Anolis sagrei: one gene and its partner. The protein of the gene in region 1 interacts with the protein of each later gene in a biochemical or structural test. Links are inferred from orthologs where the notes say so. Each region holds a gene or a part of one and is shown on either strand. Other genes may lie near its edges.

Region 1 (16,228 bases):
AGAGACCTCATGGGCCATCCAGTCCAACCCGCTGCCAAGAAGCAGGAATATTGCATTCAAATCACCCCTGACAGATGGCCATCCAGCCTCTGGGGAAAAGCTTCCAAAGAAGGAGCCTCCACCACACTCCGGGGCAGAGAGTTCCACTGCTGAACGAAGTCAGGAAGTTCTTCCTAATGTTCAGATGGAATCTATTATTATTATTATTATTATTATTATTATTATCTTTGAACTGGATTATATAACAGCGTAAACTAATATACTCCAGCATAAACTCATGCACTGCTATATAATCCAGTTAAAAGCAGATAATCTGGATTTTATATGGCAGTGTAGAAGAGCCCACGAAAAAACATCAAATGTATTGTCGAAGGCTTTCATGGCCGGAATCACTGGGTTGTTGTAGGTTTTTTCGGGCTATATGGCCATGTTCTAGAAGCCTTCTCTCCTGATATTTCACCTGCATTTATGACTTCACAACCTCTGAGGATGCCTGCCATAGATGCAGACGAAACGTCAGGAGAGAATACCTCTAGAACATGGCCATATAGTCCGAAAAAACCTACAACAACCCAAACATCCAATGCCTCTCCAGTCTTGTTGTCTTAAGAACAAGAGCATCCAAAGAGATGCGTTTCCAGCTCCCCACTCCACACAATCCTTGCAGGGGTTTCTTGTATTCCCATTTGCCCACGAAGGCGCCTTCCCACTCCCACAACCAGTGGCACTTTCCCTTTGGGGCCCAAAACCACACTTCATTGATCACAGATCAGTCCAGTCGTTGTGAGCTTTGCTGGCTGTCTCCTGAGCACAATGGGATGGGCAAGGGGGCGAGGACGGGGGTCGTGGCGCTTGACTCCAACTCAGTGGGGCGCCCCTCCCAGCAAATGGCCAATAGACCCGTCTGTTTGTGGGAGAGAGACAGAGAGAGGAGCCAGGGCAAAGGCTTTCCAACAAGGGCACATATGGTGTCAATATTCCCTGTTTTCTGTCAACTCCCCGTTACCTAGATAAGGAAGGGGGGTGGGAAGAGGGGGAATAAGGGGAGAGAGGGAGGGGGGAGATTTCTCGCCATCTTCCCTGCAAGGACCACACAGAGGAGGCATCCGGACTCTTCTCCTACAACAACACCAAGAGTTCAAAGAGCCTTCATAAGATGGAGAAAAGGGGCTGGGGGATATTGGGCTTTCTCTTTTTGCAGATGGGTAACTAACTAGACCTCACAATGAGCAAGTCAGGTCTATTTAAGCCATCTCTAAACCACCCAGAACCTGAACACTGGTGGAGTTTGGGGGAATTGTAGTTGCTGGGATTTATAGTTCACTTACAATCAAATAGCATTCTGAACTCCACTAGAATCATAGAATTACAGAGTTGGAAGAGACCTCATGGGCCATCCAGTCCAACCCCCTGCCAAGAAGCATTCAAAGCACCCCCGACAGATTGCCATCCAGCCTCTGTTTAAAAGCTTCCAAAGAAGGAGCCTCCTCCACACTCCGATGCAGAGAGTTCCACTGCTGAACGGCTCTCACAGTCAGAAAGTTCTTCCTAATGTTCAGGTGGAATCTCCTTTCTTGTAGTTTGAAGCCATTGTTCCAAGCTTACGCCTTCCTTCCTATGGCTTCCTCTCACGTATTTATAAATGTCTCCTCTCAGTCTTCTCTTCTGAAGGCTAAACATGCCCAGCTCTTTAAGCCTCTCCTCATAGGGCTTGTTCTTCAGACCCTTGATCATTTTAGTTGATCCATTCCAGATTGTCAACATCTCCTTTCAACTGAAATGTAGTAATTCTTCCCCATTGAAAGACAGTCAAACATTATCTGCACAAAAGCTAATTCAGAAATATCTGGTTGATGAATGAATTTACAAGAACTTTTTTAAAAAATCACAAAAAATCTTGGATGAAGTGGACAATTAATTGAATCACAATCAATGTATACAATCTAGTATATTAGAAGAAATGTCCTTAGATTGCCAAGACCTGCAGCAATGGATGAAGTGGACAATTAATTGAATCAAAATCAATGTATACAATCTAGTATATCAGAAGAGATGTTGTACTTAGATTGTTGAGACCTGTAGCAATCTTCTTCACTGTTAATTGCAACCTTATACATGGCTATAATGTCTCCTCCCAGCCTTCTCTTCTTCAGGCTAAACATGCCCAGCTCTTTAAGCCGCTCCTCATAGGGTTTGTTCACCAGACCCTTGATCAATTTAGTCACCTTCTAGCTTGTCAATATCTCTCTTCAATTGTGGTGCCCAGAATTGGACACAATATTCCATGTGTTGTCTAACCAAGACAGAATAGAAGGGTAGCATAACTTCCCTAGTAAACAACACCCAGGGCCATGATGTGAATCTTTTGCATGTGTTGGAGAGATAGTAGGTCTGTCTGTCCTTTATAAGGCAGTGTTTCTTGGCTTTGTAAGGTCCTTTCAGAGGCATCTGCTACTTGACCTGATCTGCTTTCTGATTCAGAGCTTTGCTCTCCTTTTTTGGATGACAGCTGAGCAGTTTATAGTTCTGGGAGCTGTAGCCTCAGAAGTTTTCCAAGCTCTGGAAGTGATACATCCAGCCTTCTTTTTTCTCTTTGATGGGCAGGAGGACCTCATGCTCACCCGCAGTCCTTCTGCTTCTGGATCCCCTTCCTTATCCATCTGCACCAGAAGGGGATATTTCATGTCCTCCATCCAATCCCAAGTTCTTCCTCCATCATAACAAAGGCATTATTCAAATCAGGCTCCTAATGACAACCAGAAGAAGCTCTTCTCCCCCTTTCTCCTTCCCACTCTCTCTGCTCTTCTTCCCTCTGACCTTCATCTCCCTGTCTTCTTCTGTCTTCTTTCTCTTTGGCAACAAAAGCCCCCTTGATCAGCTTCTTCTCAATCTTCCTAATGCCGCAACCCCTTAATACAGTTCCCCATGTTGTGGTGACCCCCAACCATAACATTATTTTTGTTGCTACTTCACAACTGAACCAAACTTGGCACACAGAACTCCCATGACCAATAGAAAGTACTGGGTTTGGTGAGCATTGATCTTGAGTTTGGGAGTTGTAGTTCACCTACATCCAGAGAGCACTGTGGACTCAAACAATGATGGATTTGGACCAAACTTGACACGAATACTCAATATGCCCAAACTGGTGGAGTTGGGGGAAAATAGAGCTTGACATTTGGGAGTTGTAGTTGCTGGGATTTATAGTTCACCTACAATCAAAAAGCATTCTAAACTCCACCAACGATGGAACTGAACCAAACTTGGCATACACAACTCCCATGACGAATAGAAAATACTGGAAGGTTTTGGTGGGCATTGACCTTGAGTTTGGGAGTTGTAGTTCACCTACATCCAGAGAGCACTGTGGACTCAAACAATGATGGATTTGGACCAAACTTGACACGAATACTCAATATGCCCAAATGTGAACACTGGTGGAGTTTGGGGAAAATAGAGCTTGACATTTGGGAATTGTAGTTGCTGAGATTTATAGTTCACTTAAAATCAAAGAGCATTCTGAACTCCACTAGAATCATAGAAGCATAGAGTTTGAAAAGACCTCATGGGCCATCCAGTCCAACCCCTGCCAAGAAGCAGGAAAATTGCACTCAAATTACCCCTACAGATGGCCATCCAGTCTCTGCTTAAAAGCCTGCAAAGAAGGAGCCTCCACCACACTCCGGGACAGAGTGTTCCACTGCTGAACTGCTCTCACAGTCAGGAAGATGTTCAGATGGAATCTCCTTTCTTGCAGTTTGAAGCCATTGTTCCACGTCCTTGTCTCCAGAGCAGCAGAAAACAAGCTTTCTCCCTTTTCCCTTCTTCTCACATATTTATACATGGCTATCATGTCTCCTCTCAGCCTTCTCCCCTTCAAGTTAAACATGCCCAGCTCTTTCAGCCGCTCCTCACAGGGCTTGTTCTCCAGATCTTTGATCATTTTAGTCGCCTTCTAGCTTGTCAACATCTCTCTTCAATTGTGGTGCCCAGAATTGGACGCAATATTCCAGGTGTGGTCTAACCAAGGCAGAATAGAGGGGTAAGCATGACTTCCTTAGTAAACAACACTCCAGGTTGAGAAACGCTGTTCTAAACCTTATTTACTCCACTCCCACTCCCCCCTCCATCCAATCCTTCGGATCCCAACGAGAATTCAGTATACAAGAAGGGGGGCAGCAGATCGAGTCCCATGTATTTCCTGGATAATCTTTTAAAGCGATAGTCAAACTCCGAGAAAGGGCCATGTTCCCCTTGTTCGTGGCCGCCTGCGAGTCTTTTCCAAGCAATACGGTATCCTGTTAGCATTCCGAACAAGGGGGCTGCTGTTCAGAGGGGTTTTTTCCCCCCTTCCAAAGGTTTCCTGAAGGAACATGTGGAAGCAATAGTCCGGGCTGCGCGTTCAGCCCGAGATGCGGGAGGGGAAAAGCGACCCCACGAAGGGGGCTGGAGGCTGAACCAAGGAGGCTGGGTGGAGGCAACGAAGGGGGCTGGAACCCCGAAAGAACCCCGAAAGAGAGGGCGAGCGGAGGACTGGGTGGACGACTGGAAGGCTACAAATACAAACCACGAAAGCCTTTCTCCCTCCACATTTCCAGATGTTTAGGGGGGTTAGCCAACTGCCCCAAAGAGGGGCCAACATGTCACATCTGGAGAGTACAGGGAGGAAGGTGAAATCTCCCTCCCTTTTTTTTCGTGTTGAGAAACTGCAAGTCGCTTCTGGTGTGAGAGAATTGGCCGTCTGCAAGGACGTTGCCCAGGGAATGTCCAGATGTTTTACTATCCGGTGGGAGGCATGAGAAGCAAGAGCTGAGAGATGGGAGCTCACCCCACTCCCTGGAATGCCCAGATGTTTGTTTTACATCTGGGGGCTCCAGCACAGGGGTTTAACCCACTGCGCCGGCAGGACTGAAGACCAACAGGTCGCAGGTTCGAATCCGGGGAGAGTGCGGACGAGCTCCCTCTGTCAGCTCCAGCTCCTCATGCGGGGACATGAGAGAAGCCTCCCACAAGGATGATAAAACATCAAAACACCTGGGCGTCCCCTGGGTAACGTCCTTGCAGACAGCCAGTTTTCTCCCACCAGAAGCGACTTGCAGTTTCTCAAGTCGCTCCTGACGCGTCCTTGCAGACGGCCAGTTCTCTCCCAGTAGAAGCGACTTTCAGTTTCTCAAGTCACTCCTGACACAACAAAAGAAAAATCCTTGTGGGAGGCTTCTCTCATGTCCCCCGCATGGAGAGCTGGAGCTGACAGACGGGAACTCACCCCGTTCTCCCCGATTAGATCCCAACCTCCATACTGAGAAAAGGACAGAGTCTCTCTCTGGGTTGTTGTAGGTTTTTCGGGCTGTATGGCCATGTTCTAGAAGCATTCTCTCCTGACGTTTCGCTTGCATCTATGGCAGGCATCTTCAGAGGTTGTGAGGTCTGTTGGAAACTAGGAACATTGGGTTTATATATCTATGGAATGTCCAGGGTGGGAGAAAGAACTCTTGTCTGTTGTTTGAGGCAAGTGTGAATGTTTCAATTGCCATTCCACAGATATTGAAGCCCAATGTTCCTAGTTTCCAACAGACCTCACAACCCCTGAGGACGCTTGCCAGAGATGTAGGCGAAACGTCAGGAGGGAATGCTTCTGGATGCACGAAAAACCCACAACCCAGTGATTCTGGCCATATTTTTTTTGTCGTGTCAGGAGCGACTTGAGAAACTGCAAGTAGCTTCTGGTGTGAGAGAATTGGCCGTCTGCAAGGAGGTTACCCAGGGAATGCTCGGATGTTTTGATGTTTGATCATCCTTGTGGGAGGCTTCTCTCATGTCCCCGCATGAGGAGCTGGAGCTGTCGAGGGAAGAAGTGTTCAGAACCGAACCATAGGCAGAAGGGGGGGGGGGGTGACACGAAGGTCCCAGGACCCCAATAGGCCTTCGCCCTCCCTTTTTCCAGGAATCGTAGCTGTTTCTGTTTTCTAATCCCAGCGCGCGCCTCGAAATGGATCTGGAAAGCGCCCCCCTCCCCCTCCCCCTCCTCCTCTTGGGCGCCTCTTTTTCCTTTCCTGGACTCGGGGCGCCCCCTTGGCCTCTGAAGCGGAACAGCGCCGGGGAAATGCCGAGATCTGGAGCGCTCCTCCTGCGAAAATGAAGCGCAGCCTCTTCTAGCTCCCACCTCAAAGTCTCTGCACCCTTCTCCCCAAAACCATGACGCCCACAACACAGTACAGACACCCCACGATGAAGGAGAGCGCCTCTTTCGCTACTCGGGAGGCTTCTTTCTCTTGAGACAAAGCAGGGACAGACACCAATGTGTCCACTATTTCCTCCTCGACTCGGATCGAAGCCAAACCCCTCTTTGTCTTTTGAAGCCTTTCCTTCTCTGTCCGGGACAGGACTGCCTTCACTCTACTTACTTTTGCCCGAGTAGAATGATCCTCCAGGGTCAGTGTGCAGTGGGTCCCTAGGTGACTGTGGAGCCCTATACTTGATCTGCATCTTCTCCCGCAGTCCCGCCTGATGAGCCTTCCTCTTGGCATGTTTCTCTCTTTTGCCCTCCATTCATGCTGCTTCAAATTCTACAGCACTGCAGGTCACAGCTGACCTCCAACTGGAGCACTCAAGGGCCAGGGCTTCCCAGTTCTCAGTGTCTATTCTTGGCACGTTTCTCTCTTTCGCCCTCCATTCATGCCTCTTCAAACTCCACAGCACTGCTGGTCACAGCTGACCTCCAGTTGGAGTGCTCAAAGGCCAGGGCTTTCCTGTTCTGTGTCTATTCTTAGCACGTTTCTCTCTTTTGCCCTCCATTCGTGCCTCTTCCAATTCTACAACACTGCTGGTCACAGCTGACCTCCAGCTGGGGCTTCCCAGTTCGCTGTGTCTGTTCTTGGCACGTTTCTCTCTTTCTCCCTCCATTCATGCCTCTTCACATTCTACAGCACTGCTGGTCACAGCTGACCTCCAGCTGGAGCGCTCAAGGGCCAGGACTTCCCAGTTCTCAGTGTCTATGCCGAGCTTTTAAGGTTGACTTTGAACCCATCTTTAAATCTCTTTTCCTGTCCTCCAACATTCCGTTTTCAGTTCTTGAGTTCAGAGTAAAGCAACTGCTTTGGGAGAAGGTGGTCGGGGATCAGGACATCAGGCTGGTCCTGTGGAGTTGATGGCGGAGGACCATCACGTCAGTGCTGGTGGTCTTTGCTTCTTCCAGAGCGCTGACTGTCTTTTCAAGAGATTTGCAGGATTTCCCAGAGGCAGTGCTGATGGAATCGTTTCAGGAGTTGCATGTGACTTCTGTGACTTCTGTAGACAGTCCACCTTTCGTAGGGTTGGGAGGACAGTAGCTTTATAAACAAGCACCTTGATATCCCTACGGATGTCCCAGTACTCAAACTCTCTCTGCTCCATTCGGAAAAATGCTGCACTCGCAGAGCTCAGGCGTTGTTGTATTTCAGTGTCAATGTTGACTTCAATCCATGGGGGAAATTATGTCCAGTCACAAAAGGAAAGGCTCCCCAAATCCCACTTTTCCAGTCCCCTCTTTCCCCTTTGATTGGGGAATAATTCGGTTTCAGAGCGCGCTCCTAAGAAGCGCTCCCGCAGCTGCCTCCTTCCCAGGGCAGCCTTCCTCCTCCTCCTCCTCCTCCGAGAGAGCAGCCCTCCATCTCCTTCCATGGGGAGAGCCTGACCCACCATCCTCCCTTAATGAGGGAGTGGGGACGGGACTTGTGTTCATGCACGAAATTGGGACCATTTGGGACGGAGGAGAGGAGGAGGGGGGGGGGGAGAATCTTTCGCCCTTGCCGCCATCTGGCCCGGCTCTCCCTTTCCCCATCGCTCATCCCCAACTGGGGGAGACCGGGGCTTTCCCCTCCCGGCCCCACACGCGCCCGGGTCCCTCTCCTGCGGCGTAAAAGCCCCCCTCCCCCCCTCTCCCGAGGCGCCCGGAGCCCCAAAAGGCGAGCGGGGAGGCTCTTATTCTGGCAGGGAGGCGGAGCGGGCGGCAGGCGGAGGAGAGGGAGAGAGAGAGAGAGAGAGAGAGAGAGGAGCGCGCCTCATTTCCTGACAGCGCTTTTCTTCCCTCGAAGCCCAGGCTCCGTCGGGGCAGGATGGGCGCTCGCCTTGAATCAATTACGGGGCTCCGCTTCTGAGGGGGAGGAGGAGGGGAAGGGGGGGGGGGAAGCAGAGGGAGACGGGCCCGGAGGAGCATGAACCCGCGCTTGAATTGAAGGCCGAAAGGTAAGCTTCGGAGGCAGCCTCCCCCGCACCCTCCCAACTCAAGGAGAGGAGAAGAAACTCTGGGATTTGGGAAACAGAGGGTCGATCTTTGAAGGGGGGGGGGGAGCAATCGGCTGGACGAAAGGGAAAGAGGAGCGCCGTACTTGGTCCCAGCTCCAGCCTCTGCTTGGGGAAGAGGTGCGGGGAAAACAAGGGGACGGAGGTCTGAACTTTAGTTATTTATTCCTATCTCCCGTTGCCTGTCTCGTTCGTCAGAAGGAGGCTCCGAAGGGGAGTAACGCCAAGCCGATCCGCGTCGCCTGGGCTAATGACAACCAGATCCTTCGGCGGTGGCGGAGGGGCATTCCTCCCCAAACTGCCAGAGAAGGAGATCTGGAGAGGCGGGGAGGGGGGGAAGGGGAGGAAGGGAAAGACACCCCCCTCAGTCCCCCTCAGTCCCCCATCCGGAGGGAATCTTTGGTGGAGGGCTTGGGGGAGTCTGCCCCCCCCCCCCGGCCCTTTCTGCACTGATGCAGTGTTGAAGGAACTATACCGATTATTCCCTAGGAAGCCCCGGGACCCGTTAGAAACCCTAGTGGCGATTATTCTTTCGTGCACTTCAATGGGAGTTTGTTGTCAGATCTCCGCAGCTCGGAGTCTATCAAATAGCCAGGGTAGATGGGTCCTGCCTCCCTTCTCTTTCTTCTCTTCTCTCTTCCATTCCTTTCTCCCTTCCCTTATCTTTTCTCTCTTCTCTTCCCTCTTTTCCTTTCTCTTCCCTTTCATTCCCTCTTTTCCCTTCTCTTCTTACTTCCGTTCCCTCTTCTTTTCTCCCCTTTCTCTTCTCCTTTCTCTTCTCCCTTCTCTTCCTTCTTCCTTTCTCCCTTCCCTTCCCTCCCTCTTCCCTTCCCTCTTCTTTTCTCCCTTCCCCTTCTCACTTCCCTTCCCTCTTCTTTTCTCCCGTCCCTTCTCTCTTCCCTCCTCTTTCTCCCTTCCCTTCTCCCTTCTTCCTTCTCTTCCCTCTTCCTTTCTCCCCTTCCCTCCCTCTTCTCCCTTCCCTTCTCTCTTCCCTCTTCTTTTCTCCCTTCCCTTCTCTTCTCCCTACCCTCTTCTTTTGTCCCTTCTCTTCTCCCTTCCCTTTTCTTTTCTCTCTTCCCTCCCCTTTCTCCCTTCCCTCTTCTCCCTTCTTTTTTCCCTTCCCTCCTCTTCCCTCTTTTTTTCTCCCTTCCCTTCTCTTCTCCCTTCCTTTCTCCTTATTTTCTCTCTTCCCTTCTCCTTTCCCTCCTCTTTCTCCCTTACCTCTTCTCCCCTTCTTCCTTCCCCTTTCTCCCTTCTCTCCACTTTCTCCCTTCCCTTCCATTTTCCTTTCTCCCTTCCTTTCTCCCTTCGCTTCTCCCTTCCCTTCTCTTCTCTTCTCTCTCTCGCTCTCTCTCTCACACACACACACTTCCTTGCTATACCTTTCTCCTCCCTCTTCTCCCTCTCCTCCCGTCCATTTCAACACCGAGGGGGGTCAGGGAGCCAGGATGAAACTGCCCCTCTCCCTCCAGTTCCAACTTGGTCAGTATAAACTTCGGGGTTGGAAGAAGGGGGAGAAGGGAGGCGGACGTTTCCTTCTGGGACCGGAGCCTGGCTCCGAGGAGGGAAAGCGTGGGAGGAGGTTGGAAGACTTGGGCAAACGGCGGCCCGTGGAAAGAGGCGGGCGCCTGGCACTGCCAACGCTGCAGTGGTTGCCTTTTGGAGGGAGGAAAAGAAAAGGAAACGCTCCGGGGGGAAAAAATCTCTCCATTGCGCAACATTGACCATCCCCTGCTTAGTTGAGGACGCCGCCGCTGTTTGGGGCTCCTCTTTGTCTCGGCCGTCGGTGCTGAATGGCGCCCCGCCCCCTCGGAGCCACTCCCCTCGCGCCCCTCCCCTTTCCCCCTCTTACCCCACCCCCGACGTGACATTTTGTTCCGGGATATATCACCCCCTGTTTGGAGAAATCGGGAGTTTTTCTGAAGCTGCAGCCAGTCGGGAGTCGGAGAAGGAGAGGAGCAAAACAACCCCTTCCCCAAACTCCCCACGGCGTCGGATTGGATCATCTCCCTTTTGCGTGGTTTTTAAAAAAACTTTATTCTTCTTATCACCATCATCTTTAGAAGATTTCCTTCCCTGATGGTCCTCCGCTTTGGGGCAAAGAGAGGGTTTTTCGTCTCAAACTTGCGTGGAGTGTATCGCACGGATGTAGTGTTTTTCCTCTTCCCAACCATCGATTTTGAATTTCACTTTTGGGGGGCGACGAAGAGAACAACCTCTTGATTTTTGGGATTTTTTGGCAGACAGTCCCTCTGCTCCCTTGTGTTTTCCAGAGGAAGCCGTGGAAACTGGGAGAGGGATTGGATTCCCCACTTCTCACATCTTGGATGGAATAATACCGCTACCAACTGGATAATATCCAAGAAGAACCCCCAGTTTCCTCCAAACTTAGCCCTGGGATTAAGCTCTAACAATCCCAGGAAGAAAACCTTGAAGAGCGTTGGGTGGGTGCTGTTGTTTTGTTGCTTTCTGCGCCTCCACTCCTTTGGAAAAGCTTGGCTTAGCATCCTTTGCCATCCAACCCTAACCCAAATATCTAGGCGGCTTTGTGGGTTGTCCCGATCAAGCTAGGATCACCAGTGGGTCTCCTTTAAGAGAGGAAAGTGGGGAACTACTACTACTATTGCTTTTCTTGGTGTCTTGGTTGTTAGACCTGTTCCAGGGTTCTTTAAAGGCAACGATTCAGAAAATGGCAGGGATAGACAACATCCGTTTTGTGTGTGTGTGTGACTTGAGAAACTGCAAGTCTCTTCTGGTGTGAGAGAATTGGCCGTCTGCAGAGACGTTGCCCAGGGACACCGAGGTGTTTGATGTGTTTACCACCCTTGTTGGGGGCTTCTCTCATTTCCCTGCATGAGGAGCTGGAGCTGACAGAGGGAGCTCAACCCGCTCTCCCTGATTCTGCCAAGGAGCATTGCGCCATTGGGGGGGGGGGGGGAATCAGTTGTGTGGCATCAGATATTGTTATGATGCTTTTCTATGAGCCAGAAGATTGGTATATTTATTTATTTATTTATTTATTTATTTATTTATTTATGACATTTATATGTTGATTTATTGTTTGGTTTTTTGGTTATGTGATTTATATTAATTGTATTGTTTTGTTTTGTTATTGCTTTTGTTTGTTGATGTGTTGTTGGGCTTGGCCTCAAGTAAGCCGCACGGAGTCCCTTGGGGAGATGGTAGCGGGGTACAAATAAAGTTATTATTATTATTATTATTATTATTATTATTATTATTATGCCGCCCTTCTCACCCCTAAGGGTACTCAGAACTACTTACAATATATATATTCATATTACATATAAAATTACTAATAATATTACATTATAATGGTATAGTATAATATTGTAATATTTAATACTGATATTATACTATGCTAATAATATATTGTATGTGTGTGTGTGTGTATATATATATACACTACACACACACACACACACACACACACACACACACATATATATATATATATATGTGTGTGTGTGTGTGTGTGTGTAGTGTATATATATATATACACACACACACATACAATATATTATTAGCATAGTATAATATCAGTATTAAATATTACAATATTATACTATACCATTATAATGTAATATTATTAGTAATTTTATATGTAATATGAATATAAAATTATATCATTTTATAATTATATTGCATTATATTTTAATATTATTAATATTATATGTATACACAATATATTCCCTTGAAGGAGCTGGGGGTTGTGACGGCCGACAGGGAGCTGGTCCATGACGTTGAGTCAGAAACGACTGAACGAATGAACAACATACAATATATTATGTTATGTTATGCTATGCTATGCTATTATATTATGTTATATTATATTATATTATTAGCATAGCACAGGAGACACTCTGTGCTATGCTAAAATATAATATAATATAATATAATATAATATAATATAATATAATATAATATAATATAATATAATATAATATAATATAATGGCCCAGAGCGGCAGTTGGTGATGGGAGGAGGGATCCCCAATATGACATGTATGTTCTATTATCTCAAAAATTAGAGTTGATGGGAGGACTGGTGGAGTCTCCTTCTGTGGAGGCTTTTAAACAGAGGCTGGATGGCCATCTATTGGGAGTGCTTTGAACGCGATTTTCCTGCTTCTTGGCAGGGCTTCTTGGCAAGGTCTCTTCCAAATCTAGGATTCTATGGTTCTGGAATCAGCCGTCAAACATACCCAGAAACAGGTCTAATATTTGAGGCACTAAAATGTATGCTAGCCAGTGAACAACAACAGCAGCAACAACAACAAAGAAATAAATCAGAACTGCTAACTGCTATGGCTCAATCCTATGAAATAAGGCTAATGGTTGAGGCACCAAAATGTGTGTTCGCTAGTGTGTAGTAAGAGTAGTAATGAAGAAGTGGTAAGGTCGGAGGAAATGTTGTGATACACACAGATATTTCACACGTCAGGACCTTGGGTCCTTCCACACAGCCCTTTATCCCAGAATACCAAGGCAGAAAATCCGACATTATCTGAGTGTGGACTCAGATAACCCAGTTCAAAGCAGATATTGTGGGACTTTCTGCCTTCATATTCTGGGATATAGGGCTGTGTGGAAAGGTCCTCTGTTGTCTTCTCCAGGGATGGAAGTCTGGATTCTCCAACCAGGAGAAACCAGGCCTGTAGCGAGGGGGTGGTTTTAGGGGTTCAAACCCCCCCCCCAAATGTTTCAGTTTTTTTTTTTAAAAAACCTGGTTTATTCGTGAATTTTAACTGGTTAACCAAATCCCCATGCTAAGTCTATGAGATGCAAAAAATTAAGAGTTCCTCCAGAACTGTAAGCACTATCTCAAGCAAATATTGACAATTTATTCACACTGTCATTACTTGCAGCAATAGCCAATGTAGCAAAGCAACCAAGTTGGGGGTGCATCTGTTGAATGCTCTCATTAAGGAGGCCAGACTTGGTGGAGGTGGTTGACAGGGGTGGAGCTGCAGGCTATGGAAGGTTGCTCTGCCCCCTGCTGTGCTCTTTGCTTCAGTGTGAGCTAGGAGGCAGGTTTCAACCCCCCCCCCCCCCCGAAATTTTCAACCCTCCCCGAATTTTTTTTCTGGCTACGGCCCTGGGAGAAACTACAAGTCGCTTCTGGTGTGTGAGAATTGGCTGTCTGCAAGGATATAGGGCTGTTTGGAAGGGTCCTCTGTTGTCTTCTCTAGGGATGGAAGTCTGGATTCACCAAACAGGAGCAACTTGAGAGACTGCAAGTCGCTCCTGGCCGTCTGCAAGGACATGTTTTACAACCCTGTGGGAAGCTTCTCTCATGTCCCTGTATGGGAAGCTGGAGCTCCCAGGTGAAGGTCTCTTCCACATGACACAATTACAGCGCTGTGATTCCACTTAATTACCTGCAGCACCATTATATAGAACCCTAGTATTTGTGTTGTGATAAAACAAGGATCTCCTCCCTTTCCAAACTACAAATTTTCAAGTTCCAGGGCAGTTAATACTGCTGTAAATCTGACTTTGTGAGTTAAAGGCTTCCAGTGTTTGGGGACTCTCATGCAGATCATCCCTGACCATTGACCTGGCTGGCAGAGGATGATGAGCCTTGTAGTCCAGACAGGTAGGATGGGCATCCATCCCATACAAGGACTTGATGGCACCCTCTAACTCCAGGTTATGATGATAGATGATCACCTGAAATGTTTAGAAAAAGGAGAAAAGGTTTAGAAAAAGGAGAAAAGGTTTAGAAAAAGGAGAAAAGAGTTAGGAAATCTATTTATAAATTGTGGAACTTCACAAAGTTGTCTGGGTTGAGTTTTGGGAAGAAAAATCCTTCATCACACCAGGACTGGGAGTCAGCTGCATTAAGATCACCACTGACCAAAAGGTCATGAGTTCGAAGCCAGCCCCCGGTCTGAGTGAGTTTCCGACCAATTTGTGTAGCTTGCTGTTGACTTTTGCAGCCCAAAAGACAGTTGCATCTGTCAAGTAGGAAATGTAGCTACCACTTATGCAGGGAGGCAAATTTACTACTACAAATTTACTACCATAAAAATCTCCAGCAAGCATGCAAAGAATGAGGAAGTACTTCATCAGTGTCACAGTGAAGTAACAGCTCCCCTGGTGGCCAGAATACCCTCATGAAAAAGCTGGAATGTTAAATAGCTTCTGTGTGTCTGATTATATATATTGTGTTTCTATGGCATTGAATGTTTGCAATGTATATATATACATTGTAATCCACCCTGAGTCCCCTGCAGGGGAATATAAATACTGTAAATAAACAAATAAATAAATCACACTAGAGAATGGATCCACTTTAAATCCGGTTTCTGCCTCCTGCAGAATTTTGTGGTTTGTAGTTCAGGGCGGCTGTTAAAGGCTCCTCCCTAAACTACAAACCCCAGAATTCTGCAGGAGGCTGAAACCGGGTTTAAAGTGGATTCATTCTCTAATGTGATGAAGTCCTTGGACTGTGTTTGTGGGCTTTCAAAGAGTAGAAGACCTTACCTTACTGTGTTTGTGGGCTTTCAAAGAGTAGAAGACCCTTAGCTATCCCCAGGATACTGGGAATTGTAGCCCCAAAACAACACTTCCCAAATCCCTTTGGGACTGGATCTACACTGCCCTGTATCCCAGATTATCTGCTTTGAACTGGATTATATGAGTTCACACTGGGCTAAGCAAAATGCATTGACTGGGAATGGAGTTTCCCTCATTTCCTTTTATTTTGCTCCCTCCAGCCAAGATTCCAGTGTAGATGGGAGTGAAAAATCGTATTTTGAAACCGCTGGCGAAGGATGGGGTTGGATGTGGTTTGCTGAGCTCCGGAATCCTTCCTTTTTTCCCCTTGGAAAAGGTTGACTCGGCACTTTTCTAGCCGTCCACTCTTTTTTCTAAACTTTTCCAGTAGGAAGGCTCTCTGCACTCCTTCGTAGGGGATTAGAGTCGCAACTAGGCGCCTCCAAATTTGGGAACTAGGAAAGGAGTGAGGCCAAGGGAGGAGCCAAGCGGTGGCCGATCTCTTCGGTGGTGGCCACGGTATGATGTGGCGGGGCGGGCCGGCTGGATGCCGCTTTCTCCAGGGAAATGAGCAGCCCGCCGTTAGGTCGCCTCGGCCTCGGCAGAAGCGTCTGTGGGCGAGAATTGTTGATCCTGCGGGAGAACAGCCAAAGATTGAGTTTTGCAATGCTCTACTGCCCCCTAGTGGCGTTTGCCACAAATAGCAATAGCACGCATAGGGGTCTGTCAAAGTCATTCCAGCCCTCCCTGCCTTCCTCCCCACTAGGCAGGCATGGGGGGGGGGGGGGTGCTTGAGAGGCTTCAGCCCCCCCCCCCCAAATCTCATGGTGGTTCGCGAAAAGGCCTTACTGGTGCATTATTTAAACTGTTATGTTTATTCATATCATGATCTGATCACCATACTCAATATATCCCATATGCATGGGGGTACTGGGGTAACGATATAGACCTTTGCTAGGGTAGACCCTCTTTCATTTAGACTCAGCCCCCCCCCCCCAATCGAAATCCTGGCTACGGGCCCAGGCCCGCCACTAGACTTGTTTGATCCAAAAAAAAAGTTCAAAACTCATTTTGGATGTTAGTGGTTCAATTCTAAAGTCAATTCCAATTTTTCACAGAAAAAAAATGTTCAAAACTTTTCAAAACTTCGGAGACTTCTGAATCCTTTAATTAATGGTTTGAAACTGTTATTTCCTGTTTCATTGGGTGGTATTTACTTTGAAAATAGTTATTTTACTCCAGAAGAGGGGAAAAGCAAGCGGAAGAAATTCCTTTCTTCTCCGGTTTAAAGCTGGCTTCTCTGGCTTGAGCCAGAAGCGGGAAAAGTAAACAGAAGAAATTCATCCTTCTCTGGTTTATATCTGGCTTCTCTGGCTTTAAAACTGACTTCTCTGGCTTGAGCCAGAAGTGGGAAAAGCAAACGGGGAAAA
Region 2 (16,609 bases), about 89 Mb from region 1:
GCAGCTCAATCCTGAAATGATATCCAAGAGTACATTATGATCTCAGAACCTTTTAGACTTCAGTTCCCACAATGCCTAGTAGCTGACAGGCTGGCTGGGATTTCTGGGAGTTGAAGTCCAAAACCAGTTTGGGAACCACTGCTCTAAACTGTGTAAAAAGGAGTTTCTTCTAAAGTGGATGTTATTTTAGATGTCACATTCTAACCTTGCTCTAAAAAAACAATTATAGTGACCAGGTGGGTATTCTTATGTAGAACAAGTAATACGTGTTTACTAAATACAGTTTAATGTGTTTACGGATCTTTTCATTTATTTAATAAGTGGTTTTAACCTGGTCTACAATCAACATTTACATAGTTGTCAATATGGGAGGGGGGAACAGTACTCATCTTGTATCTGGTGCTGGCATAACAGGAGATTTGAATCTGATTTGATTCTTTTACATCCCCAAGGGCTTACATCTGAGTTTAAAACATTTTTTTCCCGGAAAAGCCAAGGTCTGCTCTTTAATACTAAAGTGAGCTCGAATAGAGGAACTGTATGGTTGGTAATGCTGTTCTCCCTTTGATTTAATAAGGATGTGTGTGGTGTTGAAATGGCCACTACATAACAGGAAAATGCAAGTTGAAGCAGATTCTCTTTGCCTGTGTACACAACACCTCACTTTTTAGCACTCAGCCCTACTGGTCTCTTGACTTCACAGATATCTTAATCCTCTGTGTCCTCATCATAGCATCCCCATAGTACATCCCACTGTCATTCTTTCTACTAGTCACTATTCATATCTAAATTTCTCTATCCAACAATAGACATCTATCATTCAAGCTTCATACATTTCTCTGACCATGCCTACCATCTTATTCTACAATACCAGCAGCCAACACACAAACTTAAACTCTTTTCAACAGTTATGAAAGGCAAACATAATTTCCCAGTCAATGTTGCCCAAAAAAGTAGCCTTTCTAAGCAATTCTATAAAAAAGCAGAATATCTATTTGTGCAAACAATCTCAGAATGATCTTGGAATAAGGCTGTGTCTGTCACATATTATATGACCAACTTAGGATAAACATGAGTTGTAGAAGCATAAGGGCTACAGGCCTGGTCTACCTTCCACCATGCAAAAGGCATATGACCATAACAGCAACAACAACAACAACAACAACAACAACAACACACTTTATTTATACTCTGCCCTTCTGCCCTAGAGCAGATTACAGTGTATACAGCGGACATAGGCAAACATGTCCGCTGTATACTCACATACAATGAGACACACAAACACAGATGAGGCAAAGGCTTCTCCTTTCATTTCTGGCTTCTGGAGGCAGTGCTCATCTCTGGTTCTTAGGGAGGTGCTTTTCTGTATTTCTAAGCCAAGGAGCCTGCATCGTCACCTCCTGGTCACATGGCTGGCAAGACTGCTTGGAGTGTCTTTTTGCTTTTTCGCACCAAACAATTCTTATTTATCTACTCATATTTGCATGTTTTCAAACTGCTAGGTTGACAGGAGTTAGAGCTAACAGTGGGTGCTCACCCCATCCCGCAGATTTGAACTGCCAACCTTCAGGTCAGCAGTTCAGCAGCACAACCCCTTGTTGCATATCCACCATATCTTTAGCAACAAGGTGGATTACTTACCAAACAGACACCTGAGCAAATAGATATAACTACAAATATATCTATTTTGTATATCTTGGACTGAAGCCCCTAGGATTCTGAGAACTAAAGAAAAACAACTAAAGAAAACTCTCATTTTTGCTAGTGTACAATTTACTGCAAACTACATTTTCCTCAGACAGTAAATTCATCATTTATTTCTTGAATCTATACTATGCATTCACACATAAAATGCCCATGTTCTAAATCTATCCACGATCCTTTTGTTGAAATATAAGATTACATTTTTAAAACTGCAACCCTATACTTGGTTATCTCATTGGAATTCAAACATCTTGAAATCAGTAGAGCTTTATTTTGAGTGATTAATGTAGAATTACTTGAAGCTGCTTAATCAGTTTGATTGATCAGTTAAAGCCTCTTTAAAATGTGTGTTCTTGATTAATCGCGTAACAAATAATCCACAGAAGAAAATACCCATTTAAATGAAGTTGGCTTCAGAACAAATATACAATATGTGCAAATATAAATCTTCATTTATTAGCCCAACTAATGAATTGATGTTCAGGGATAAGATCTATTAGGTCCATTTGCTAAGTCATGTAACATTATACCATGCATTAGGTACCAAGAAATCCTACAATTTCTCTCCCTCTATGGCAGTGGTTCCCAACCTTTTGTTGACCAGGGACTACTTTGACCAGGGTCCACTTGACCAGGGACTACTCTCTCACATTAGTACCAAAAGGGTTATCAATCAGTTCAGTCAACTATAGATTTGGTTTGGTTATTTGGGGTGCTGATTCAGAAAATTGAATTGGATAGACCACATAAGCTCTAGTTTCTGATACAGAACATATGCCATCCACTAGTTGCCATCTGCTTGCCTGCAGAAACCCATACTTAATAAGCTTTGGCACTATAAGAGAGTTTTGTAAGACCAGTTGCTCTTGTTGCAACAGCGAGGCCATGGACCATATTTTAGTTCTTGTGAACCACTGGTGGTCCACCAACCACAGGTTGGGAACTACTGCTCTATGGTATGGTCCAATGTGGGAAGAGGTTCTCAGGAGTGACACCAACCCTAGTGATGCCACTAGGCTTAGTAAGCCTCCATGGGTGAATCATTGGGAAAAGGGGTAAGTGCAGCTTTACTATATCAGTTGTGGCAGCAGCACACTGTCTAGTTGCAAAGACAACATATACTAATTCCTCCTGTCATTTCTGAGAACAGGTGTGGCCTAATGGTTTCTGCCCCATGCAGACTGTGAACTTCAAATACCTGTACCCTTGCTATTACACCCAGGAGAACCTGATCTGGTACTGAGCTCAGCTCAATACAAGCAGGCAGCCTGGATGCCCCAGCATCTATTATGCTTGAACAAAACCCAAGGGAAATCCCAGAATCCCCACAGACAATTTCCCCCTCTGAGAGTGGTTGCCCAAAAGAAAGCAACTTTCTCAAGGTCTATGCTAGATCCAATTTGTCAGAAACAAATAAAGGACAAGTGTGGCTTGGCAGAATGAAATGGGAATCCCAGAGTAGAGCATTAATATCCAGTGTGCATAGACAGGGCGCTGTGGGTGGTCCAGAATGAGCAGTGGGCGCAAGAGGAAGCCGGGAGTGAAAGGCTCTCTGTTTGCAACCCAATAACCCCCCAATTCAGCATGCATGCCTCCTGACATTTACCCCTACCCCGACTCCAACATCCCACCTCTGGCTTTGCAAGCATGAGGGACAAAACCATGGAAATCCCCTCTGCCTCATCACAGGGAAAAGAGGAGGAGGTGGTCTTGGTGGTGAGCTCACCCTCTTTGTGTTAAGTTTGCAAAATCAGTGACAAAGTGGCAGGGAGAAGGACGGCGGGAGGGGAATGACGACGGGCAGGAAACCAAGAATACATCAGACGCGCTATATTTAGAGCCTTTTATTGAGCCGAGGACAATATTCCTTGATTTTGCATTGTTTTGGAGAGGGCAGAGGCCAGGAGAGCTATTGAAACCTTTTGTCTTTAGAGATGCCACTTTGTCTGGGTCCATGGGGGTGGCAAGGAGAGGACGTAGGAGCACACTTTGACATGTGTGTTGTGGACAGTTTGTGTTTTTAAAAAGATGAGTGCCATTGCATTGATACTATGCTCACACGCCCTTCCACTAGACTTCTGCAGTGATGCACTTCTCTATTCTCTCATACAGATTCAATGAGCAAAACTTCATCTTGCTTCATTATAGTCATTAACTTTTTGACAAATGGGAAGAATGCAGAAGGAGAGAGGATTCATTGATGTATCTATAGCAAGACAAAAATGCTGGTGAAGGAACATAGTGATGCAAGGATCTCAGAAGTTACACAGCCTATCTCAATTCAGTAGTTTTCAAATGGGTGGGACAACAACCCCCAGCTGATGGGAATTGTAGTCTGACACACCTGGAAAGTGCTAGCTTGGGGAAAACTGAGTTAAATAAGATGTCTGGGCGTGGCACATTTGTCACGGCCTTTTGAAAACTGGTTAAAACTGTGGTGTCTAACAGAGCTTTCAGTATTACTCCTTGATATAAAGAAAGATGTCCAGTTGGTTTGGTTTCTAAATGTGGGTATATATTTGGTATGATGAATGCATTTTAAATGCTACATTCTGGGGTTTTTTCTTTCACATGGCTGTATCTTCTTTTTTCCAGTGGCATCATAGCATCCCTTCACACAGTTAAAACTGGTGCGCCAGCTCCAAACATACCTCAAGAAGCCTGACTTGGCCATGGTGGTCCATGCCTTAGTGACATCTATAATGGACTGCTACAATGCACTCTATTTGAAGACGGCTCAGAAACTGCATTTAGTGCAAAGGTTGCCAGCCAGATCACTAACTGGGGCTTATAATAGGGAGCATACTATACCCCTATTAATGTAGCTGCACTGGCTGCCAACAAGTTTCCAAATCCAATTCAAAGTGCAGGTTAGTGCCTATAAAGCCCTATACGCTTTCTTCAAGACCGCATCTCCTTTAATGAATTGGTGCGAGCTCTAAGATCTGCCAGAGAGGCCCTCCTCTTAGTCCCACCCCATCTCTGGTGGGTGGGGATGAGAGAAAGGGCCTTTTTGGTGGTGGCCCCCTGGCTTAGCCCCCACTCTCCAAGCTTTCCGGACACAACTGAAAACATTTTTGGACCATGATTAGTACCTTAATAACTAAACCCAAGGACCTAGTGATTGATTCGCTTTAGCACTTTATGGGACTGTTACTATACACAGCCTGTTTATATCCACAGTCTTATTGATTTATATGTTTGTGTACCTTGTTGTATTTTGAGTGCTGCTCCACTATTGTGTGTGTTTTCGTGAGCCACTCCGAATCTCTTTGGGGAGATGATAATAAAGTATTTTATTGTTGTTGTTGTTGTTGTTGTTGTTATTATTATTATTATCTTTGTTTTGGAATACAACTCCCACAAGCTTTGGACAGCCTTACCAATGGCCAGGGCCCATGGGAGTTATAGTACAAAACATCTGGAGGGCCGGTGGTTCCAGAAACAAGAGTAACTCTAAATCAGTGGTTCTCAACCTGTGGGTCCCCAGGTGTTTTGGCTTACAACTCTCAGAAATCGCAGCCAGTTTACCAACTGGTTCTAAATAGAAGCTGCAATTGTGTTCTTGGCAGCCCAAAGGTGTAGAAAATAAGCTAAACAAGTGAAGTACTATGAGAAATAGGGGGCTGACCAACAAGGTCCCAGAATGGTCAGCTTACATGAGAACCAGGAGCAAAAGGTCATTTGCTATACACAGAAGAGGAACTGAAAGGAATGAAGGGGAAACCACGGCGTCTCTAAGCAAGTCCTTGGGTTTCCAAAGAGACTTTAGGTTTACCACTCCATATATGGGGAACACATGGTTACAAACTGATTCAAGTCATCGTGAGAGTGAGCATAGTTTCAGTCTTTGTTTTTCGCTCTCTCTCTTTCTATGAATGTATCAATTTCCAGCACGCAGTTGAGTAGGGATTGTAGAAGAATGAGGAATATTGTATGAGGGACACCTACATATGTGCAAGAGACCACATGCTCGTGCAAACTTCAAAGGGATTTCTCATTCTACTCTCAGAATGAGTTGGCAGTAATGAATGCTTCTGACTCTAGAGGTCGGGAGGTCCATCTACACTGAAGAATGAATGCAGTTTGATGCCACATGAACTGCGATGGCTCAAGCCTATGCAATCATAAGACTTGCACTTTGGCGAGATCCCAGCATTCTTTGTCAGAGGGGGCTAAAGAACCGGCAAAACTATAACTCCCATAGGTTATAGTCCCTCTATACCATTGAGCCATAGCAGTTAACGTGTTGTTAGACTGCATTCATTATAAAGTGTAGATGCACTCAGAGACAGCACAAAGACAGTAAAGTACATACTACCTCTGACCTCTCCTTGTTTTTTTTGCAGAGTGAGAACTAAGATCACTGTGCTAATACTGGGCACATCTACACTTAGGTTGGTTCCAAATTGGAATAGCAGAAACTAATTCCACTGTGAGAATTATTAGACTGACCTCTATGCAACAGGTTTGAAGCCCAGGTGGCAGTGAAGCAACCACAGAGGGTAGCCAACTGGTCCCAACAATTACAGTATCTACGGCTTGGCAGCCATAGAGAATGTGGTTCATTTTCTCACTCCCTCTGCAGCAATGTGCATGTGCATATCAGTAGAATGCTTTGGGTAACCACACAATGATCCACATTCTATGGAGTCACGTTCACCATGCAATATCATTTATCCTTGAGTGTGCTGATGCACATTACAGGCTCTATTTTAACATATCCTCTGACTTTGCTTATCTCTGTTTAAAGGACTTGAAGCGTGCTGCAGCTTCACAACATTGTGTTGTAAATCTGATTCCAAGCTGCATTAAATGGTCAGTGTTTGTTGTTTATTTGTTCAGTCACTTTCAAGTCTTCATAACCTCATGGACCAGCCCATGCCAGAGCTCCCTGTTGGCCATCTTCAACCCTAGTTCCTTGAAAGTCAAGCCAGTCACTTCAAGGATAACATCCATCCATCTTGCCTTTAGTTGGCCCCTCTTCCTTTTTCTTTTCATTTTCCCCAGCATTGTTATCTTCTCCAAGCTTTCCTGTCTTCTCATTATGTGGCCAAAGTACTTCATCTTTGCCTCTAATATCTTTCGCTCCAGTGAGCAGTCAGGCTTTATTTCCTGGAGTATGGACTGGTTGGAACTTCTCGTGGTCCAAGGCACTCTCAGAATTTTCTTTCAATACCACAGTTCAAAAATGTATATCTTCCTCCACTCAGCATTCCTTATGTTCCAGCTCTCAAATCCATAGGTTACTATGGGGAATTACTTACTTTCTTAGGTGATCCCTCATTGTCCGAGTAGGATTGTCTTCCAAGATTGGTGTACTAGCGGTGGGTACGTAGGTGACTGTGGAGCTCTATTGTTGATCTGCATGTTCTCCCGCAGTGAGGGCATTGGTTGTCAGGTGGAAGGCAATCCTGGTTGGGGTTGGCTTGACACACTTTCCTCTTGGCATGTTTCTTTCTTTTGCCCTCCATTCGTGCTTCTTTAAATTCTACAGCACTACTTCCAGTTGGAGCTCTCAAGGGCCAGGGCTTCCCAGTTCTCAGTGTCTATGCCACAGCTTTTAAGGTTGGCTTTGAGCCCATCTTTAAATCTCTTTTCCTGTCTACCAACATTCTGTTTTCCATTCTTGAGTTCGGAGTAGAGCAACTGTTTTGGGAGACGGTGGTCGGGCATCCGGACAACGTGACTGGTCCAGCGGAGTTGATGGCAGAGGACCATTGTTTCAGTGCTGGTGGTCTTTGCTTCTTCCAGCACGCTGACATTTGTCCGCTTGTCTTCCCAAGAGATTTGCAGGATTTTTCAGAGGCAACGCTGATGGAATCGTTCCAGGAGTTGCATGTGATGTCTGTAGATCGTCCACGTCTCGCAGGCATATAGCAGGGTTGGGAGGACAATAGCTTTATAAACAAGCACCTTGGTATCCCTAGGTCCTCAAACACTCTCTGCTTCATTTGGAAAAATGCTGCACTCATAGAGCTCAAGCGGTGTTGTATTTCAGTGACAATGTTGACTTTTGTAGAGAGGTGGCGGAAATGGTCAATATTTTCTAATGTTACACCATTAAGCTGTATTTCTGGCATTGGAGAGGGATTGGCTGGTGCGGAATACCATTGCTTTAACTATGTGGATGGAGCCCCGGTGGCACAATGGGTTAAACCCTTGTGCCGGTAGGACTGAAGACTGACAGGTTGCAGGTTCAAATCCAGGGAGAGCACAGATGAGCTCCCTCTGTCAGCTCCAGCTGCCCATGCGGGGACATGAGAGAAGCCTCCCACAAGGATGGTAAAACATCAAACCTCCAGGTGTCCCCTGAGCAATGTCCTTGCAGACAGCCAATTCTCTCACACCAGAAGCAACTTGCAGTTTCTCAAGTAGCTCCTGACATGAAAAAAAACCCCAACAAACTATGTGGATCCTCATTGCCAGTGTGATGTCTCTACTCTTAGTGTAGATGGAGCCTAAATGGGCCTCTGAATTGATTTATGGTCTCATTCCCAGCCCCATGCACTATTGGTGAAGAACATAAAGGGTCTCCATAGGACTCCCTTACCTCAAAATGGGAATCCAGTGTTCCCTCACTTACTGCGGGAGTTCAAGTTCCAGGACCCTCTGCAATAAGTGAAAATCTGCGTAGGGACACCAGATTAATTTCAATATTTATACATTATTTTCTATATTATTTTCTTGTCTGCGCTTCCTTACCCACCTCCCGGCCCATCCCAAGGGCACCTGCCTGCCTCCCTGGCCTCCACAGATCCCTGCAAAGCCTCTGGATCCATGCAGGTGGCAGCAGGCTAGGGAGGCAGGCCTTCCCCGCTGCACCTCAGGCTGCCGCACTTCTGGGGTCTGTGGAGGCCAGGGAGGCCGATCTTCCCCACCACACCTCAGGCCACCTCACTTCCGAGGTCCCTGCCCTCCACTGGACGTACATATTTTATATTTTATATTCATAATTTCAAAAACTCACGAAACAGCGAGTCCGCTAAAAGCGAACCGCGAGGTAGCGAAGGAGCACTGTATATGGAAACTGAAGTAAAGCAGACACTGCATGACAAATATGAATATATTTTAGAAGTAGAGATTCCCTTTTGCACCTGGGGGTGTGGAACTGGGTGCTCAGCATCATCTGAGTCATTTTAATTCCTCTTTCCTTTGAGCTGAGATACAACAGGATCTTCCATGGAGATGAGAGTGGAGTGTGATAAAGCTTAAGGATGGGGAAGGATGTATTGCAAAGGCTTTTGATTTTCACGTCTCTTTATTTTACCTCATGAGTCATATCATCATGTTCTCAAGAGCTGAGTAACTGCCGGGTCTATTTTTACTCTAGTTCAGCAGGCTTTCTTTCCTCAGCGGCTGCTACAGCTGAAGAGCCGAAGGACACGAGGCTGGTGAGTTGGGGGCCATGGATGGCTTATTATGAGAGACGGGACTGGGTGGTGATGCTTTCTGGCAAGGGGGGGGGGGGTAGCCTTGCATAGTTAGGAAAGAATAATATGCTAATATCCAAAGGAACAGAATAGGATGTGACACACATCTCATAAATGTATATATTCACACAGAGAAAGAGTTATATTTGGGGGTGGCGCAGGGGATGGGCAAAGGGGAGGTATTTCTTTCCAGTGCTATTTGGGGACTTTGGAAAAAATAACGAAAGAAAGCAGGACATTTTTCCTTCCAACAAAACAGGAAAGAGATGGTGGGGAAAGGAGGAGGGGGATAGATAGCATCAAATGCTCCTCAACAATGGACAGGGATGGGTGGGGGAGAGTTTCATTGTTTCCTAAATATGGGGAGGGACAGAATGAATAGAACTGTGAATATATCTCTGCAGGAGGTGTTTTTAATCCCTTGTTCGTAAAAGCATTCAAGTATCAGAGCATGCTGCACTTCTGTGGAAAACTGGCCTCCTCCCCTCACCCAAGAGACATCTTTATATTTTCCTTGTGCATCTTTCTCTCATGCTCATGGACATACACACACACTTACATTCATTGAAATCTACAGAATAATCCTATATTATAACATAGGGAGTGGAGAAATGCAATGCCCTTATATCAGTGGAACAGCCATTACACCCTCTAGTCCAGCGTTTCTCAACCTGGGGGTCAGGACCCCTGGGTGGGTCGCAAGGGGGTGTCAGTGGGGTCACCAAAGACCATCAGAAACCACAGTACTTTCTGTTGGTCATTGGGTTTCTGAGTGGGAAGTTTGGCCCAAGTCTGTCGTTGGTGGGGTACAGAATGCTCTTTGATTATAGATGAACTATAAATCCCAGCAACTACAACTCCCAAATGCCAAGGTCTATTTTCCCCCAAACTCCACCACTGTTCCCATTTGGGCATATTGAGTATTCGTGCCAAATTTGGTCCAGATCCATCATTGTTTGAGTCCACTGTGCTCTCTGGATATCGGTGAACTACAACTCCAAAACTCAAGGTCAAACCCTTCCAGTGTGTTCTGTTAGTCATAGGAGTTCTGTGTGCCAAGACTGGTACAATTCTATTGTTGGTGGAGTTCAGAATGCTCTTTGATTGTAGGTGAACTATAAATCCCAGCAACTACAACTCCCAAATGACAATATCAACCCCCCCCCCCCCAACCCCACTAGTATTCAAATTTGGGCATATCAGGTATGTGTGCCCAATTTGGTCCAGTGAATTAAAATACATCCTGCATATCAAATATTTGCATTACAATTTATAACAGTAGCACAATGACAGTTATGAAGTAGCAACAAAAATAATGTTATGTTGGGGGTCATCACAACATGAGGCACTATATTAAGGGGTCATGGCATTAGGAAGGTAGAGGAACACTGCTCTAGTCTATGCCCTCAGCCTGGGAAGAGTAATGAAAAGATACCCTGAAGAACATTTGAAAAGGGCAGACATCATCTCTGAAAATATCACTATGGTCTTCCAATGAGAGACTGCTGGCAATGATGCCTACATGCTCCCTACACCCATATGTGGAGGCAGCCCATGAATTTGTAGCAGGGACATGTCCCCGAGCAGTCATATACCAAAGAGGGTGATGCCACAGTGTTCCTCAGAAGCTCAACTTTTGGCACAGAACCCCAGTACTGCAACTCCCCAGGTACCACTCCAAAGAGGACATACCCTTCAACACAAATAAACCAGTTCGCATGTGGCCCAGTAACATTAGAGTGTGGTTACAATGCCAAAAGTTATTAATGAGAAAGAAGACAAAAGCAAGGAGAGCCTGCAGTAGTTTACTTTTGCCCAAGCCTTCTAGGAATGGCAAGATTCTGCTCCCTATATTTCTCTCCCTCACCTGCCAAGTTAACCAAGTCCAAACTACTTTTGTATTTCAGTTTTCAGGGTCTAAAGTAGGCTGAGGACAAAGGGGGAAAGGGGGAGAAGGGGAAAGAAACTGGGTATTTCTAAACCAGCTGAAAATATGAGTGACAGATTAGGATTATCCCAGTCAAATCAGGACAGTGGGTTGCTATATGTTTTGTAGGCTGTATGGCCATGGACCAGAAGCATTCTCTCCTGATGTTTTACCCACATCTATGGAGGGCATCCTCAAAGGTTGAGGGGTCTGTTGGAAATTAGGTAAGAGAGGTTTATATATCTGTGGAACGTCCAAGGTGGGAGAAAGAACTCTTGTCTGCTTGTGGATGTTGAAATTTGCCACCTTGATTAGCATTTAATGGTCTTGCAGTTTCAAGGCCTGGCTTGTTGCTGACTTGGGGAATCCTTTGTTGGGAGGTGTTAGCCGGTCCTGACTGATTCCTGTCTGGAATTCCCCTGCTTTTTGAGTGTTCCCCTTTATGTACTGTCCTGATTTTAGAGTTTTTTTTAATACACATTAATAAGCATGTGGATAATTTCAACAGAAAGGAGGAAACCATGAAAATTAACAAAATCTGGTTACCAGTATTTAAAAACAGTAAATAAAGAACTACACTAAAAAAAACAGGGAAATTCCAGACAAGAATCAATCAAGGCCAGCTAACCCCTCCCAACAAAGAATTCACCCAGGCAGCAATGAGCCAGGCCTTAAAACTGCAAGGCCATTAAATGCTAACCAAGGTGGCCAATTGCAATATCCACACATGCCTCAAGGAAGCAAGAGTTCTTTCTCCCACCCTGGACTTTCCAGATATATAAACCCCACTTATTAGTTTCCAACAGACCCCTCAACCTCTGAGGATGCCTGTCATAGATGTGGGCAAAACGTCAGGAGTGAATGCTTCAGCAATCCAGTGATTCCAACCATGGAAGCCTTCGACAATACATTGAATCAAGACAGTTGAAGGGCATGTTGCAACTATGGGGGAAGAAGGATGAAGGCAGTTCTCACACCTCAAATGAAGAAATGTGCCCCACCAAATGGAATTTTCCATCCGTGTCCCAAATTTTTCACACTGCAGAGAGAAACTGGGACGTTTTAAAAACAGCTCAAAAAAATGAGACCACAGAGGATTAAACAGGACTCTCCCTGCCAAATCAGGACATTTGGAGGGTACAGGGAACCCAGGGCTTGAAAGTAACACATGATAAGCAATCCAGTTACTCCAAATTCTTTATGTTAGGGATAGGTGAGTCACATTTCCAAAGTAATAGAGCAAGTGGGGATGAAGTTACTTTACTGATATAATACATAGCATTTTCTTATGTTTGTTTTTAAAAGACATGTTAGTGATATCTCAACAGACGCATTCTCTCATCACTCTGAAGTTACACTTAGAAATGAAGCAATATATGGCACGGGCAGTTTATTTTCAAAAACAATGCATATTACAACAATTAAAAAGTTAATTTTGTATATCTGGGAGCATTGGAATTCCATTCAGCACCTCACAGGTATTGAAGGGCCACATAAACAAGGTGAAGGAAGGCGAATTCACACAAGAGGACACTCCACCTGAGCACTGCCCTGGGCACACAGCCTCCTTGGAGAAGGCCCCAAGACCTCTCTATGGAGGGTAAGGCTGTTTGGTGGCCTGAGAGCATAGAGATCCAGATAGATCAGCATGCTATAAAAATAGCTGTAGTGCACAGACTATGGCAAGGGTGCATTGTAAAATCTGAAGCACAAGCTCTCACCATGACAACCACATACATAGTAGTAGTTTGTAAGGCTTCATCTTGTGGTTGTATGCCTTTTCATCATTTTCAACTTATGACTAGCCTAAGACAAACAACCCTATTCCAGTGTTTCCTTGGGAAGAACTGTTCAGAAGGGGCTGCCACTGCTCTCTTCTCTAACTGACAGAGTGGGAATTGCTCAAAGTCACCCAGTGGGTTGCTGTGATTTTTCCGGGCTGTATGGCCATGTTCCAGAAGCATTCTCTCCTGACGTTTCACCCACATCTATGCCAGGCATCCTCAGAGGTTGTGAGGCAAGTGTGAATATTGCAATTGGCCACCTTGATTTGCATGTAATTGAAGCCGATAGTCGACAACATAATTGCCTTGTAGCTGCAAAGCCTGGCTGATTGCTGCCTGGGGGAATCCGTTGTTGGGTGCTGTTAACTGGCCCTGATTGATTCTTGTCTGGAATTCCCCTGTTTTGTTTTGTTTTGCTTTTGTGTGTGTAGTTCTTTATTTACTGTCCTGATTTTAGAGGGTTTTTTAAATACTTGTAGCCAGATTTTGTATGGCTAATTGCGACATTCACACTTGTTTCAAGCAGACAAGAGTTCTTTCTCCCACCCTGGACATTCCACAGATATATAAACCTCACTTGCCTAGTTTCCAACAGACCTCACAATGCCTGCCATAGATGTGGGCAAAGCGTCAGGAGAGAATGCTTCTGGAACATGACCATACAGACTGAAAAACTCACAGCAACCCAGTGGTTTTCCAAGGTGGAGCAAGGATTCAAACCTTGGTCTCCCAGAGTCATAGTCTGCTCTTAGTTCTTGCTGACTCTTTCTGTGTACAGTTAATGTGCCTTAGTAGCCCTTTCAAGCATCCTTTCCATCTGAGATAGCTAATACCCCAGAGGACAGGATCAGAATTCAAAATGGCCTTACAGACTAGTTTGGCTGGAGAGAGAGAAAATCTAACATAAGCTTTCATGAATTTACACTGAAACCATCAGATGCACAAAACCTTGTATCAGATGAAATGGACAAGTCCATGAAAGCTTATACTAGCATTTCTCTTTCTCAGTCCCAAAAGTGCTGCAGATTTTGAGGGTATAATTTTATGCTGATACAGAGTAGAACTGCTATGTCTTTGAATAGTATTATAATGGGTTGCTGTGAGTTCTCCAAGCTGTATGGCCATGTTCCAGAAGCATTATCTCCTGATGTTTCACCTACAACTATGGCAGGCATCCTCAGAGATTGTGAGTTGTGCTGTAAAACTGGCAAGTGGGGTTTATATATGATAAATTATTGTAATGTATTACAATGTATTACGATTGGGAAAGAATGCTTGTAAAGCAGTCTTTGTAAAGAAGCAGAGACTGGTATCCAACAGAGTATCTCCTTTAGGTATGAGTAACCTACTCTTGTGATGGGCAAGAAGGAAGAAAAGGGGGTGAGAAAAGTAGACAGCAATATAATTAAGGCTATGCCAATTGGCATAGACTCAATTGATCAATAGAACACAGAAGGGCAGCATTTATGCTTCTGTAGGTCTAGTGTAGCTGGGTCTAATCATCATCATCATCATTATCATCATCATCATCATCATGTGCCTAGACACCATCAGGATTTGTAAAAATGCTGGCACTTTTATTGAAAATGTGATGAAGTTCTGGAAAACTGAACTGTATGTTAGAAGTGAAAGCTATGGACTTGTCAACCTCAGGAGAGGAATTTTCCAGGGAGACTTATTGTCCCCACTGCTTTTCATCATTGCCATGATCCCTTTGTCAACAATCTTACAAAAAACAAACCTCAGCTATTAAACGTCTAAGAAATCTCTCAAAATTTCACATCTGCTGTACATGGATGACCTGAAGCTGTATGGGAAATCCGAAACTGAAATCCAGTCTCTGACTAACACTGTTTAAATCTTTAGCACTGTTATCAACATGGAGTTTGGATTGGACAAATGTTCGACAGTGGTACTGAAGAGGGGAAAAATCATTGAAAGTGAGGGCATAAATATGCCCAATGGCCAAGTGATAAAGTGTCACCAGCCAGAGTCCTATAAATATCTGGGCATACTACAGCTGGACAACATCATACACGAACATGGGAAAACTGGTCAGCAAAGAATACACTCAAAGGGTCAGAAAAATTCTCAAAAGCAAACTCAATGGAGGCAATACCATCAAGGCCATAAACACCTGGGCCATACCTGTCATAAGATATACTGCTGGCATCATAACCTGGACGCAGGCAGAACTGGACGGTTTGGACAGAAAAACAAGAAAACTCATGACCATTCATAATTCACTACATCCTCACAGTGACGTTGACTGGCTCTGTCTGCCTAGAAGGTAGAGGACTTTTACAAGTAAAACAAGCAATTGAAGAAGAAAAACATGCCCTGGCAGAAAATGTAATAGAAAGCCAAAAACCTGCTTTAATTGAAATCAATAATGGGAAACGTCTCCAAGCACAGTGGACAAAGAATTAGTAGAAGAAAACTGCACTACAAACCAGTGCTGACAGCTGGCACAACAAAGTATTGCATGGGCAGTTCCTTTACAAAATTGAAGGAAAAGTTGATAAGGAGAAGACCTGGTTATGGTTCATGAATGGAACCCTGAAGAAGGAGGTGGAAGGCCTGATTCTTGCAGCCCCAGGCATGTAGCCGGGGGGGGGGGGGGGGGGCTTGAGGGGCTTCATCCCCCCCCCCCAAATTCTCATGGTGGTTCGCGAAAAGGCCTTACTGGTGCATTATTTAAACTGTTATGTTTATTCATATCATGATCTGATCACCATACTCAATATATCCCATATGCATGGGGGTATTGGAGTAATGATACAAAAGGTTTGCTAGGGTAAACCCTCTTTCACTCAGACTCAGCCCCCCCGAAACTCAGCCCCCCTGAATTTTTTTTAGCCTCCCCCCCCCCCCCAAAACGAAATCCTGGCTACGGGCCTGTGCAGCCCAGTAGGAAGCCATCAGAACCATTGATCATATCCTCAGCTGCTGCAAGAAAATTACACAGATAGACTACAAACAGAGACACAACTCTTATGTCACAAGTACCACCTGCCAGTAGTAAAGAACTGGTGGGATCATAAACCTGCAAAGCTAGTGGAAAATGAACATGCAAAAATACTGTGGGACTTTCAAATCCAGACTGACAAAATTTTGGAATACACTACACCAGACATCACAATTGTGGAAAAGAAAAAAAGTTTGGATTATTGATGTCACCATACCAGGTGACAGTCGCATTGAGGAAGAACAACAGGAAAAACTCAGCCGTTATCAGGACCTCAAAATCGAGCCACAGAGGCTCTGCCATAAACCAGTACAGTGGTCCCAGTGGTCATCGGCACTCTGGGTGCCGTGCCAAAAGATCTCAACTGGCATTTGGAAACAATAAACATTGACAAAATCACGATCTGTCAACTGCAAAAGGCCACCTTATTTGGATCTGTGTGCATCATTTGAAAATACATCACACAGTCCTAAACACTTGGGAAGTGTTTGACTTGTGATTTTGTGATACGAAATCCAGCATATAGATCTCGTTTGCTGTGACATACTGTGTTTTTCTGTCAGAATAATAATAATAATAATAATAATAATAATAATATCATCTTTATTATATTCTGCTTTTCTACCTAACGGTAGAACAACACAATACATTACAAATCAAAGCACATTTAACATAAAACACAAGACAAAAATCATACAAAGCAAACTATCATCCAGAAATAAGATACAAAAATATTAAGCATTAAAACATTAAACCAATTACAATTATTGTGAAGACTCATCAATTAAATAGT

What was found.
Region 2: the proteins of PDGFRA (region 1) and PDGFB form a complex in vitro, tested with the Homo sapiens proteins (3 studies listed by BioGRID). The link is inferred for Anolis sagrei from reciprocal best matches to the Homo sapiens genes PDGFRA and PDGFB.

The regions. Positions count from the first base shown.
Region 1 is NC_090025.1:74,378,853-74,395,080, reverse strand, and holds the start of PDGFRA (platelet-derived growth factor receptor alpha), read left to right. Parts: upstream 1-8,001; 5' UTR 8,002-8,223; intron 8,224-10,194; exon of another isoform or gene 10,195-10,724; intron 10,725-16,228. UniProt on the Homo sapiens protein: Tyrosine-protein kinase that acts as a cell-surface receptor for PDGFA, PDGFB and PDGFC and plays an essential role in the regulation of embryonic development, cell proliferation, survival and chemotaxis.
Region 2 is NC_090025.1:163,470,732-163,487,340, forward strand, and holds the start of PDGFB (platelet-derived growth factor subunit B), read left to right. Parts: upstream 1-8,887; 5' UTR 8,888-9,098; intron 9,099-16,609. UniProt on the Homo sapiens protein: Growth factor that plays an essential role in the regulation of embryonic development, cell proliferation, cell migration, survival and chemotaxis. Potent mitogen for cells of mesenchymal origin.